Arabidopsis thaliana: one gene and its partner. The protein of the gene in region 1 purifies or fractionates together with the protein of each later gene. This does not show direct contact. Each region holds a gene or a part of one and is shown on either strand. Other genes may lie near its edges. The genes, in order: AT5G63960 and RFC2.

Region 1 (7,951 bases):
CCAACATTTGGCGCTGTAGCAGCATCCCTCTGTCACATATGTAAGCAAACACTGTCATATTCACATGATAGATCATCAGACACCGTAAAACAGATCTAAGTTTCAGAGCAACCTTTGTATGATATTATATATTCACCAAAAAGCCGGAAAAAAAATTCATATATTCAGCAAAATTATGCATGACTTAAGAAAAATCCCTGCACTTGTGCAGCTATAAAAAGACGACCAAAGAACCATATTAAAATATTATACAAGCCAAAAATTAAAATTTAATTGTTTAGCACTCCCATTTTTCAGTTTGAGAGTGTCCATGAGATGCTGGAATTAGAGTAAAGGAACGAAAATTCCCCTAGACACATTTGTACATGTTTCTTCACGAACGGAAACGGTCAAGAGTTATCTTAACATGTAATGAAAATGCTTAATCCTGCAAATGATAGACGAAAATAGATAAAGAGTACCACAAACCTTACGCATGCGTTCAGCAAGTTCACCATGAGCTGATTTAACTTCATAATCATCTCCTGTTTTCGTTAGACCCTATGATTTGAGGAAACACATCAGGAGCATTATCCATTTGATTCTTGTTTTAGTTTTAACAGATGGCTTTAATCATTAAAATACACTTTCAGGCGATACAAACATCACAGGACAATAAATCAAGTAAAACATATTACCTTAGTAATCACCAAAAGTGACAAGTCAATACGGTTCATGAGAAGATCCGAAATGGTTTTCTTGACATTTTCAGCTGCCCCTGGAACATCTCTATCAATAAGTATTTTGTTAAGACTCTCAGTCACGAGGTTCTTAACCAGTAAACAATTATCCCTTCGTACTGTCTCGATTCCTGCCAAAGTCGGTGATATTGAAATTTAGTCAGGAAATGAATAAGAGAGAGGCTGTAAAATCACGAAGATTTACCTTTGGTGTCCATTTTGTCAAACTGTTGAGGATTTGTCCATAGCAAACCAGCATACCTCTTCTTGTTAATGAGAAGATATGGGAAATAGACCTTTTCAAACTCCAATTTGATGGGCTTTATGACATCATACACAATCAAGAAACAGAGAACGATTCAGCCTGTTATATTTTGTTTTCAAGAAATCACGTAATCTTGCACCTCTACCCCAAGGATTAGGGAGAACCGGAGAAGTTTAAGACATGCTCCTAGAAAATCACTTACTTTGATAAAAGTTCCACTAATGTGTTCTGCAGCTTCCCTCCCCAAGGTCATCGCAGCTTCTACATCCGATACTCCAAATTGCACCATGACTGAATCCGTGTCTCCATAAATGACCTAATACATCATAGTCCATCAAATTCGAGAAATCTAAGAGCAAACTTAATGATTCACTCAAGTCTTTTCAATACAACGAATAATTCAATGAACATGTACCTCTGCATTGTATTGATACCCTCCCAGTGTTGTGAATTTGTCTTCAACAAGTTTCTTTGTTTGTTCAATCATCTGACGACCTTCAAAAAGATACAAATCCATCAGAACGAACCTAAAAGGCTACGTGTCTAGAAAAGTTGCAGTTTCACAAAAGAAATACCATAGCTAGTTACACTCGAGGATATTTCTAAGCATGGTAACTGCCCAACAGTGGCTCCCGTAAACCCGTAGACAGAATTTGCACTGATCTGAGAAAAAATAGAAAACAAATGTAAAAGAGCAATTTACAGGGAGGATATTGTTCGAAATTTTCCGAGGATTGTAATCATTTTTCTGAATGACCAAGTTAAAGAAGCTGGCAGTAAAGAAGTTCACCTTCAACGCTAACTGTCTACCATCTAAAACAGCCTTCTCAAGGGGATCCTTAGCCTCCTAGATTAGACAATACCAGTTTCAATAGTAGTAGTTAAAGGCTGTATACAGATACGCACACACTGCAAGAGTTTCTTCGGAATCAAATGTTTTACCTTTAAATCTGCTTTAGCTCTCTTACGGGCAGTAAGAAGCTCTTCGAGAATTTCTGGAAGTATACCCTGAAATAAATTATTCATTTTGTTAATAAACTGCTGTCTTCCCTGAATTTATTAATTGGTTGTATTTCCTGAAAGAACTCATTCAACAGAATTTGCGGAACTTGAGGATAATAAAAATCTAACTAAATGCGGAAACCTTTTGCAAAGTTTGCTTAACAAATGTTTCCCCTGATGGAGTTTTAGTGACATGTTCAGGTGGAAGATTCAGTTTGCGTACATCTTCAGGTGTCACCTTCAAAGACAAGAACATGGAAATAATGCTCCCAAATTAATAAGGTGTATAAACAATAGATGATAAAATAAATAGAAATTGAAAAGAAAATATCAAAAGAATTACCAAGGTGCAGTAGCACAGATTATATGCCATCATAATTGACGGGTACAGTGAAGCAAAATCCAAAGTTGCAATTGGCTTTTCATAGAAACCTGTTCTTGCTTCTAAAACCTGAATATCGTTTGACATATCCAAAACAACAAACATGTCGGAACAGTGGAATTAATGCAACCGATAGGCCAAAAGGAAATGTTAGATCCATAAATCACCCACTTACAGTTGCGCCTTCATAAGTTCCTTGTTCGGACCCTGACTGTTTAGCATTTGGAAGAACCAGATTTTTCTGTTTGCCTTTCCTAAGAAGCTGAGATAAAACCTAGAAGCAAAGACACAATATATCAGCCACCTTATTAAACTGAAACACATCCAGAAACTAGAAGTTGAGAACTACCTTGATACTCTGTCCTCTCGCAAGAAGAAATGAAATAGGGACACCAGTTACACGAGCCATTTCGACATAATTATATATAAACATCAGTTTGTCCAGAAGCCTCTGAGGAAGATATGCATCCTGTAACAGAGAAAAGAAACGTGGTGAAGTTGTAGCTTCTTGTAATATTTAGTTGGTTGACTATTAATAGAGAAGCAGCTAAGTTAGTGTCTGAAAATCCTTCCACACATCCTACGAAACACATTATTCCATGTGTCACAAATATCGCCAGCAATTGCCAGAAGTCCTTCAAGCCTACCTCACATCCAGATTCCAGCATGCTCAAAAAAATCATGAATGGACATATGAGCAACCATTTCTATACACCCTTATCTACAAGGTTTCCTCTTGCCACACGTACAAAAATATAAGCAGAGATTACTAAAAAAGTTTTTAAAACACACATCAATGTTCATCTTTTACACTAGAAAGGGTGGGACTTGGGACTCCCATCATAGCTTGGGACAACATGCAATAGGACCTTTAGGTGGTTAGACAAGCTTGATAGCTAGTTAGAAAATCTTAAAGTTATCTAATAACAGGCAATGCATCAGGACATAGACAGCACTACTCCAGAATAAATAAAAGTAGGTACCTTCAAACAATAAACAGCAAGACGCCTCCTGGTTTCCGCATTCCCATTCTGGAGATCAGTTATTATAGAATGGTGGACATCTTCTTTCTGCAGAAGACAATCAGGTTAGCCACATGGAAAGTAGAAATAACCTGAAATTCTAAGCATAATTACTCGGTTTCACCTGCTCGGAAAGAAAGTGAGCTGAGACAGAATTCAGCGAATAAGAACTTAATTTGTGGTCTCTGTGTATTGCCTACAATAATTAAAAGACGAATCAGGTTGATGTTACAAATAAACAATCTAAGAATGACTCAACCAAAATGAATTTGTTAAGGACAAAAAACCTGAATAAGGTCAAACTGAAATCTTCCTTCAATTGTGGTCTCTTTACTTTCTCTTATTCCTTGTTGTCTGAAACATGGCAATATAATATTATAAGATGCGAGTTTAGAGAACTCATGAGGCACAAAAAGCATGAAGCATAACAAAAAAACAATAGAGAAAGCGATGGAAGTTAGCAAGCACCAGTTACTCCTACATCACCTTGATGAAAATGTTGAGTCCCTGACCCGGACCCTACTGTTCTTTACACGACCAAGAAGAGGAAATTCCTCTATTCCCAGTGTAGCAGCTCTCTGAGAATCAGAAAACAGCATATTTTCTAGGTTAAAGATCCATCACATATACATGTGCCATATGACCCAGCGGAGCATAGCATAATATTACATATAGAATGCTATAAGAAAGAAAAACACGCTTCTGCTAACCAGAGGTGATACTGATCCGTCAATAAAAGTAAAATCTAATGTTCAAGTACCTCAATCAGATAAGGTAAATCGAATTTGCAGATGTTATAACCAATGATGATATCAGGATCAACATCACGAATCAAATCCTGCAGCCAATACATCTCATACATCAGCAGAACACATGTTTCACCAAGCCCACAACAAAATTGCAGTAGCAACATAAAGTTTACTAAATCTTTCACTGAGTCCTCCAGGATTTAACAACTGTAATAGAACTTACTTTTGCAAGCAAGGTGCCAAAAAACAGATGAAGAAGAAGTAATGCATATATAATAATGAAGAGGCAAAAACAATACCCTCCAAGCTAGTAAGACCTCTCTTTCTGTTTCAAAAGACATGACATCTACGCCTACGATTGGAGCACATGACTTAAGAGTCATGACATTGCGTACAAATGGGTGATCCTCTCCCTGAAGAGTAACAAGGTTCGCTATCTAGAAAAGCAATGAGAATGTTGTTTCAAGAAGAATGCAAACAAAGGTAACAAAAAGGTATATCAAAAAATGACAAAAACAGCTAACCTGGATTACAGGATCATGCTTAGCTTCCGGAAAATGTCCTTTACGACCTGCACACTCAATATCGAAACTTAGTACACGGAATGGAGCCATTTTTGAGTATTCACCTTCTGCAGCATGACTGATTAGATCTGAGTACCTAAAACCCATGTTAAAGAAAGCACTGGCATAAAATACAATATGTTACTATAAGCATATTATTGTTCCAGAAAAGAAATTCCGATGAGGATACAGGCAATGGAACTCCAATTGGCAGTATGACAAAGTTCTTGCATTTTTCTTATACTTCCCAGTAGGTACTTCAATCCAATTTCCTCCGACAATATCACAATCAACCATGAAACGGAGAACGAAAAGAATATTGCTTTCATATGTCTGGAAGCTCTTCATACCCAATCCATCAATTTGTAGGCCTCTATCAAGGATGCCTACCAATTTAATAATTACAATGACTTTAAATCAGTAAAGGATAAGAGATAGTAGACACATAGCGCACAAATATTTGGGAAGTCATACCGCGACAGCTTGCCACCATAGTCGGCAATGCAACTGTAATCTTCAGAAAAGTTTGGGATTTTTGCTGTTGGTAATACATAATGCTTCTTTTCTGCACCATTTCTATACGTTTAACAAATTTCGGGACCTTGGCATTTTTATTGGATTCCCTCATCCTTCCCTGAATGAATCAGCTGAGCTTTAAAACAAAACCAGCGAGATCAAAGTACAAAATATACAGAGATCTACATAGTAAATACCTCAAGACTCTGATGGAAATTAGAAATATCGTCTGGCCCCATTCCAGGAGGGCAAGCAATGTAAAAGTATGGCTCAAATCCATGAACAAAGCAACACACACTGTTACCTGACAATATACCAGAAACTCAAATCCAACGAAATCGTTCCCCACAAAGAGCAAAAGAAAAAGAGGTTTAAAAACACTCACCTTCTCTGGTAACCCCAAACATCCTAATGATTGGAGCTTGCCCTGAGGAACCCGGTAACAGCTCCTTATGACTCTCCGCGATTATAGAGTCAATCTCCAATTGTTGGAAAACTAAACAAATCAAAATACACAAATCCAAGTGTTGAGAAATTTTCCAGCAATCATAAGATGAAGAAGCCCTTATCAAACTAAGATAGTACTCAACTGATACTCTGTGAATTCGAGAGATACGCGGGGGAGAGCGGAGGTCGAGCCCAAGCCGAGGAACGCGATTCACGCTCCTCAATGTCACGGAGGATTAGGGATTCCTCATCTTCGTCGCCGTACAAGAGAGTTTCGTCCAGAAACACGTCCTCTTCCATCATAAATTCATCATCTAGGGTTCCGATGGCCGGAGATGGTGTTGAATCACCAGTGGCTCGATGCTTACCCGCCGGTGGTGGGGTATTCGAAGGAGGCGGTCGCTTTTTGGAAATACCGGATCTATTCATGGCTTTGGGTGAGCGGGAAAAGAAGAGAATGTGTGTGATTTTGTGAGCTCGTGGAGGTCTGAGAGAAGTAGAAAGTGAGACTATACACCACTCCGATTCCCGCCAGTTTTAAGGGTTTTGCTATTAGAGATTTGATGTCAATGTGAAGTTTTTTAAGGAACTTTTCTTTAAGTCCCTAGACAATGCTATTATTAACCAAATCGTTACGGACTTTTTCTTATTGTGGTTGCAATTATTTTGAATTAAAATATATTTTGTCGGATGACCAATGTTTAAGACTTTTAAGTGCTTATACGAAGTTTTGATTGCTAAAAAAAACGAATAATTGTAGATCAAAAGAGACAACCTTATAATAGAGTTCGATCGTGATACACATAGAATCGTTCATTGTTCATTTGATCTACAATTATAAGAGAATTCGACCTCTCTTTAATTATTTTATTTTTAGTATATCAGGATTCATGACCAAGACAATTAGGCAAGTGATGGTACACTTGGTAGCTAACTAGCTAAGGTTGATGCCGCATTTCATAATGGAACTTGGTTTATGTTGGAAGCAGAACTCGAACATGTCGAGCATCTTCAAATCAATAGAGTCTCCAAACTCTTGCAGCAAATTTTGTTGTACTGTATATGGAAGGAGCCAAGTATTTACCAAGGTAGTAAGTAATGAACCCTCCACGTCCACGAGCTCACAATTTCACACATTCTCTTCCTTTTCCCGATCATCCAAAGCCATGAATAGAGCCGGAAATTCCAAAAAGCGACCGCCTCCATCAAACCGTCATTTTTTGGTTCCATCATGAGATATTGAACAAATTATTACTTGTATTATCTGAAATGACTTGTAATATCTGAAATGACTTGTAAAAAAAGTGTACCACATCGGATGTTCTTGTTACTAAACAATTCAGACCAACGCAAAAAATATTATACTATTATATCTGACCAAAAAGGAAATAAAATCATATTTTGTTGTATTGTAGGTTAAATGTGAGAGAGAGAGAGAGAGAGAGAGCGCACAAGAGCCATTTGTCTCGGAACTGAGAAATCTTCAAAATTCAAAAAAGCCAAGGAAGGCGGGATTCCAAACATTCTCTTCATCATCTTCTTCTTCTTCTCACTCTTCTCTCCATTTATCACAATCGATCATCGGGAAACACAAACTCATCTCCAGAAAACGGTGTAGCAATGGCGGAAAATACGGCCAGCCATAGAAGAAAACCTCGGAGCTTGAACGATCGTCACTACAGTATCCTCCAGGATCTTTCTGCGCCTCCTAGACAGCCTCCCTCTTCTTCTCGTACGATTGTTCTCTTCTATCGTTTCTCTATGGTTTCGGATTCGTATCTGTCTTTGATTTTGAGTTTTATTTATTATATTTGGGGACTTCAGATGGAGAAGATGAAGAGACGAAGAAGTCCATGATTAAGCTTGCTGGACGACGTCGTCTTTGCAAGGCCTTGCCAAAGGAAGACGAAGCTGATGGATATGACGATCCTGATTTGGTTGATTTCTATTCCCCAGGTAATTTTGAGATTTCACCCGATTTTAGGGTTTTCGCAAACCCATGTCTCTTAGTTTACAGAAAGAAATTGGTGTTTCCGTTGATGATGTATTTCAATTTTGTCCTAGTAGCTTACTTTGAAATTAGGGTTTCTTCGAAATCTGAGTTTCTAGTCTGGTGTTTGATTTTCGGTCTTTATAGCTGTTATTATACTGCGTTTTGTCAGATAACTTTACTTGAATACGTTTGTTTTTGCATGATGCTCTAATCAGTTAAAGGAGAGACATCACTAGACAGCGCTGGAATTGGGAACAAATTCACATCTTGGGATGAATCAAAGGAAGCTAACA
Region 2 (4,694 bases), on another chromosome or scaffold:
CCAAACCCTAAGAGGCATATTCGGATTCTCATCGCTGCTAAGTACCAAAACAGCTGTAGCAACAACGACAAAAGCAAGATTCCAAACGAAATCCAAAACCACTACAGGTTTCGAATAAGCCCAATCGCTTTGTCTCTCTTCAAGCTGCTCAGCCGCAGCTTCACGAACAAGCATCGATGGCTCTCTCATCATCATTCTCCCGCTACTTGCATGTCTTAGTAACCTCGCCGCTTCTCTTAACCCTTGTCTTCTCACCGATCTCCTTCCTCCTCCTCCGTCGGTTAAAATCAAAGGCGTTGCTTCCGTCGTCGTCTCTCTTGACATTTTGCTTTCTCTTTTCAAAGTTTCTTCCTTTCTTCGAAATTTCAAAAATTGATATCGAATTGATGAAATTGGTGAAGCTTTACGCCATTAAATTGGGGCAATTTCAATCTCAGAGACAATTTCGGATTTGTTAGGGTTTCGATTCGAACAGAGAGAGAGAGAGACAGAAAGAGAAAGAAGATGATGAGTCGGACAAATCGGGAAACGTGATGTTTGAAAAATGAATATAAAAAATCAAAATTGTAATGAATTTAATGTCTCCTCAAATGACAACCAGAGAAATTAGGGGACATATATGTAATATTCAGTTTTTTCAGTGGCTATATGGTAAACTTACACTAACTTGATTCAAATTAAGGGTGGGTAAGAAACTGAACCAAACCATATTAAACCGAAATTTATTCTTTTGTCCAACTGAGTAAAAAATTAACAAAAATTCGAAAAATTTTAAGCATAATTTTTAATCGAAAACCGGAATAAATCTAAATTAAACTCAAATCCAAATTGAAAATTTTTAATCGAAAAAATTATAGTTTATACGACATCTATTTAGGGAACAAACCCAAAAAAAAACTCAACTAATTTTTATTTGGACGTTTAATACCCAATTGTTTTTGGTTGGAAGGTAAATACACGAAGTAATAAAACCGTGCAATTTAATACACAAACAAGTAATTGTTGTTATTTTCATACTCACGATCTCACAACAAAAATAAAATTCCAATTTTACCCTTACCATCTCAATTAATTATTAATTTTTTTATAATATAATATTAAATTTTATAATTTTGAATAAAAAATAATTTTATTAACATTTTAGTTTATGGTCTCTAATTTTTATTATTATTATATTATTCTAAAATTTAACATAAAAATTATAGAAAATTAAAAATATTTTAAAATGGCCGGTAAATATTCTTCGTAGTGAGAAACTCTCTTTTCGATTGTATATCCTTCAAGAATCAAACTATTTTCGACAAAATCTCAACCCGAATCTCATCGTATTTCTCAAGATTTATCAATTCATAAAAATGGCTAATTTTGTTTTTAGTAGCAAAATAGCTAACCTCAACCCAAATCTCAACGAATTAGATTAATCTTTGATTCTAAATTTCCTTAAAGAGAAAACGATTCTTTGATATTGCAACGATAGAAGAAGATTGTAATAATGACTATTTTAAAATATTTTTGATTTTCTATAATTTTTATGTTAAATTTTAGAATAATATAATAATAATAAAAATGAAAATTTAAATTTTAGAGACCATAAACTAAAATGTTAATAAAATTAATTTTTATTTAAAATTATATAATTAATATTATATTATCAAAAAATAATAGTTAATTGAGATGGTAAGAGTAAAATTGGAATTTTATTTTTGTTGTGAGATCGTGAGTATGAAAATAACAACAATTAATTATTTGTGTATTAAATTGTATGATTTTATTATTTCGTGTATTTACTTTCCAACCAAAAACAATTGAGTATTAAACGTCCAAATAAAAATTAATTGAGGTTTGTTTTGGTTTTTTTTCCCATCTATTTATAATAAAATAGACCAATTTTAAATTTATCGAACCGAACTGGGCATAAATGTAACAACGAGTTTTAAAAGGCGGGGCTATATAGTGAAATTAATATACTTTGGGTACAGAATTCGGATGTTTTCTTTTTATAGGCCCTTTAATGAAATGATTGTATAAAAGTAAAACCCTTAATCGGATCCTCCAGCAATTTTCCCTCCAAACCAGAAAACCCTCCAAATCTCACCGGTCGGAGATTCCTTCTCTTCCGACTGATAATGGCGTCTTCTTCATCAACCTCTACCGGTGACGGATACAATGAACCATGGGTGGAGAAATACAGGCCGAGCAAAGTAGTCGATATCGTTGGAAACGAAGACGCCGTCTCCAGACTTCAAGTCATTGCTCGCGACGGCAACATGCCTAATCTTATCCTTTCCGTAAGATTTTACTCTTCTGTTGACACTCTTTGATTTAAACCCTCCTCGAATTTGCTAAAAAGTTTTAGGTTTGATGAAAACTTGATCAATTAGGGCATTTTGGGTTTGTTTACTGTGTAGATTTCATGATAAAGCTTAGATTTTGAGGGTTTTTAATCAATTTCTATTGTCTGCCAAAGTTAATGAAGGTTTGATTTTTAGAAAATCTCTGTGTTTAGTATTACTTGTGGAGATTTGATATATGATTTTGTGTTGTTTGGTTGTATATCCTTAGGGTCCTCCTGGAACAGGTAAAACCACAAGCATTTTGGCTCTTGCTCATGAGCTCCTTGGCACGAATTACAAGGAGGCTGTTCTGGAGTTGAATGCATCTGATGATAGGTATGTGATGCCAATCTTTTACCTATGGGATGTTGTTCTATCTTCAATCGTTGTTTGGTTAGACATCTTCAATGTTCTGTTATGTTTGTAGGGGTATTGATGTTGTAAGGAACAAAATTAAGATGTTTGCGCAGAAGAAAGTAACACTTCCTCCAGGGCGTCATAAGGTTGTTATCCTAGATGAAGCTGACAGGTTAGTGACTTTTACTTGAGTATTCCTTCTCAAGTTGAATTGTTCCAGTTAAGTGTTTTTTTTTCTGACTTTCTGTTTTCGGTTTCTAAAAAACTAGTATGACATCTGGAGCACAACAAGCATTGAGGAGAACGATTGAAATCTATTCGAACTCTACGCGGTTTGCACTTGCTTGTAATACATCAGCCAAGATTATTGAGCCCATTCAGAGTAGATGTGCCTTAGTTCGATTCTCTAGATTATCTGATCAGCAGATACTAGGCCGTCTCTTGGTGGTGGTTGCAGCAGAGAAAGTACGGATTTGCCACTTTTCTTTCATTCGACATGTTTACTTACTGCAATTTTGAAAATTTTCTAATTGCTTATGTTTTCAATCTCTCAAGGTTCCGTATGTGCCTGAAGGCCTTGAGGCGATAATCTTTACAGCTGATGGTGACATGAGGCAAGCTCTGAACAACTTGCAAGCCACATTCAGCGGGTTTTCGTTTGTCAACCAAGAAAACGTCTTCAAGGTTTGAAACAAAACCTTAATTCACTTTGGCTTATAAAACACATTGGTTTCATATCATCAATCAAAGATCTCTTCACTTAGGTCTGTGACCAGCCTCACCCGCTTCATGTCAAGAACATTGTTCGCAATGTGTTGGAAAGTAAGTTTGACATCGCCTGTGACGGCTTAAAGCAGCTCTATGATTTGGGCTACTCTCCAACCGACATTATCACAACGCTTTTCCGTATAATAAAGAATTACGATATGGCTGAGTATCTGAAACTTGAGTTCATGAAGGTATACATCTGATTCTCCTTGACAGCTCAAAACATCCAAACTTTCGTCTAACACCAATGCTTTTCTTCAGGAAACTGGATTTGCGCATATGAGAATCTGTGATGGAGTTGGATCTTATCTTCAGCTATGTGGTCTTCTGGCTAAGTTATCCATTGTTCGTGAAACAGCGAAAGCACCTTAAGTTAGGTAACTTCCACTCATCTCTAGTGATGAACTGGTGGCCGGTCTATGTTTAAACCAAGTTGGTTAAATCTCGTTGTTTGAGAATTCGGATAGATGTTGGAACTTCCATGCTGTATTGCTCTGTTTTCTAGATTTGAATTGCTTGTGAATGTTTCTGAATATTAAGCTTAATCCTAACCAGTTTGGTATACCAACACATTTTTTTATATAATACCATGCTATTTGTTTAAATCACATAAATGAAAAAAACAATACACAGATTATTTTACACATTACAACCACTCTATATAGTCTACGCAAGTGCGAGAGATGAATCGTAATTTTTGTAGGTAAAATGTTGAACCTATTTGTGTAATTCGATAACACTATATGAGTAAGGCATGACATTGTGAAATGGTGTAAACTCTTGGTCTGTTACATTGACTTTATATTATGAATAAACACACTTGTGACCAAAAAAAAGAAAAAAGAACTGGGAACAAGAAACGAAATAAAGTTATATTTATTGAACCAAAACTATAAAATACGTTTGGTTAAAAACCAAATCTACTACAGTAACCATAATGATGACACGTCTGAAATCTTCTTCTGTAGCTCGTGTGTGTTAACCTAACATTGAAATACACAAAACAACGTATCAGAGTCATCTTCATGAAGCTTACAGACACGATAACAACTAAATACACACCATGTAACATAAGGACTCTGTTGCGAAAAATATCAGAGTAAAGCAACATGATTCACCTCAGACTCCTCCTACCTCGAGGACAAACTGTTTTAAGAAAGCATATTGAGAAAGCTTTTGTCCAATCTCCCATCATGCAACATATTTGTCACCAAGCTAATGGTTGAAGCATCTCCA

The links.
Region 2: the proteins of AT5G63960 (region 1) and RFC2 fractionate together in Arabidopsis thaliana (co-fractionation; one large-scale study listed by BioGRID). This does not show direct contact.

What each region holds. Positions count from the first base shown.
Region 1 is NC_003076.8:25,597,740-25,605,690, reverse strand, and holds the start of AT5G63960 (DNA polymerase delta subunit 1), read right to left. Parts: upstream 6,178-7,951; 5' UTR 6,095-6,177; coding exon 5,809-6,094; intron 5,715-5,808; coding exon 5,604-5,714; intron 5,523-5,603; coding exon 5,416-5,522; intron 5,337-5,415; coding exon 5,177-5,336; intron 5,089-5,176; coding exon 4,893-5,088; intron 4,800-4,892; coding exon 4,664-4,799; intron 4,577-4,663; coding exon 4,388-4,576; intron 4,229-4,387; coding exon 4,151-4,228; intron 3,969-4,150; coding exon 3,877-3,968; intron 3,745-3,876; coding exon 3,678-3,744; intron 3,587-3,677; coding exon 3,515-3,586; intron 3,439-3,514; coding exon 3,352-3,438; intron 2,838-3,351; coding exon 2,718-2,837; intron 2,643-2,717; coding exon 2,544-2,642; intron 2,438-2,543; coding exon 2,330-2,437; intron 2,225-2,329; coding exon 2,129-2,224; intron 1,993-2,128; coding exon 1,927-1,992; intron 1,832-1,926; coding exon 1,775-1,831; intron 1,648-1,774; coding exon 1,560-1,647; intron 1,480-1,559; and 11 more. Other genes in the region: CHR24 (chromatin remodeling 24), read left to right, coding at 7,286-7,397, 7,490-7,621, 7,874-7,951. UniProt on the Arabidopsis thaliana protein: This polymerase possesses two enzymatic activities: DNA synthesis (polymerase) and an exonucleolytic activity that degrades single-stranded DNA in the 3'- to 5'-direction.
Region 2 is NC_003070.9:23,421,204-23,425,897, reverse strand, and holds RFC2 (replication factor C 2), read left to right. Parts: upstream 1-1,983; 5' UTR 1,984-2,126; coding exon 2,127-2,288; intron 2,289-2,562; coding exon 2,563-2,669; intron 2,670-2,760; coding exon 2,761-2,862; intron 2,863-2,959; coding exon 2,960-3,155; intron 3,156-3,245; coding exon 3,246-3,374; intron 3,375-3,454; coding exon 3,455-3,649; intron 3,650-3,719; coding exon 3,720-3,830; 3' UTR 3,831-4,064; downstream 4,065-4,694. Other genes in the region: AT1G63170 (Zinc finger, C3HC4 type (RING finger) family protein), read right to left, coding at 1-324; AT1G63150 (Tetratricopeptide repeat (TPR)-like superfamily protein), read right to left, coding at 4,610-4,694. UniProt on the Arabidopsis thaliana protein: May be involved in DNA replication and thus regulate cell proliferation.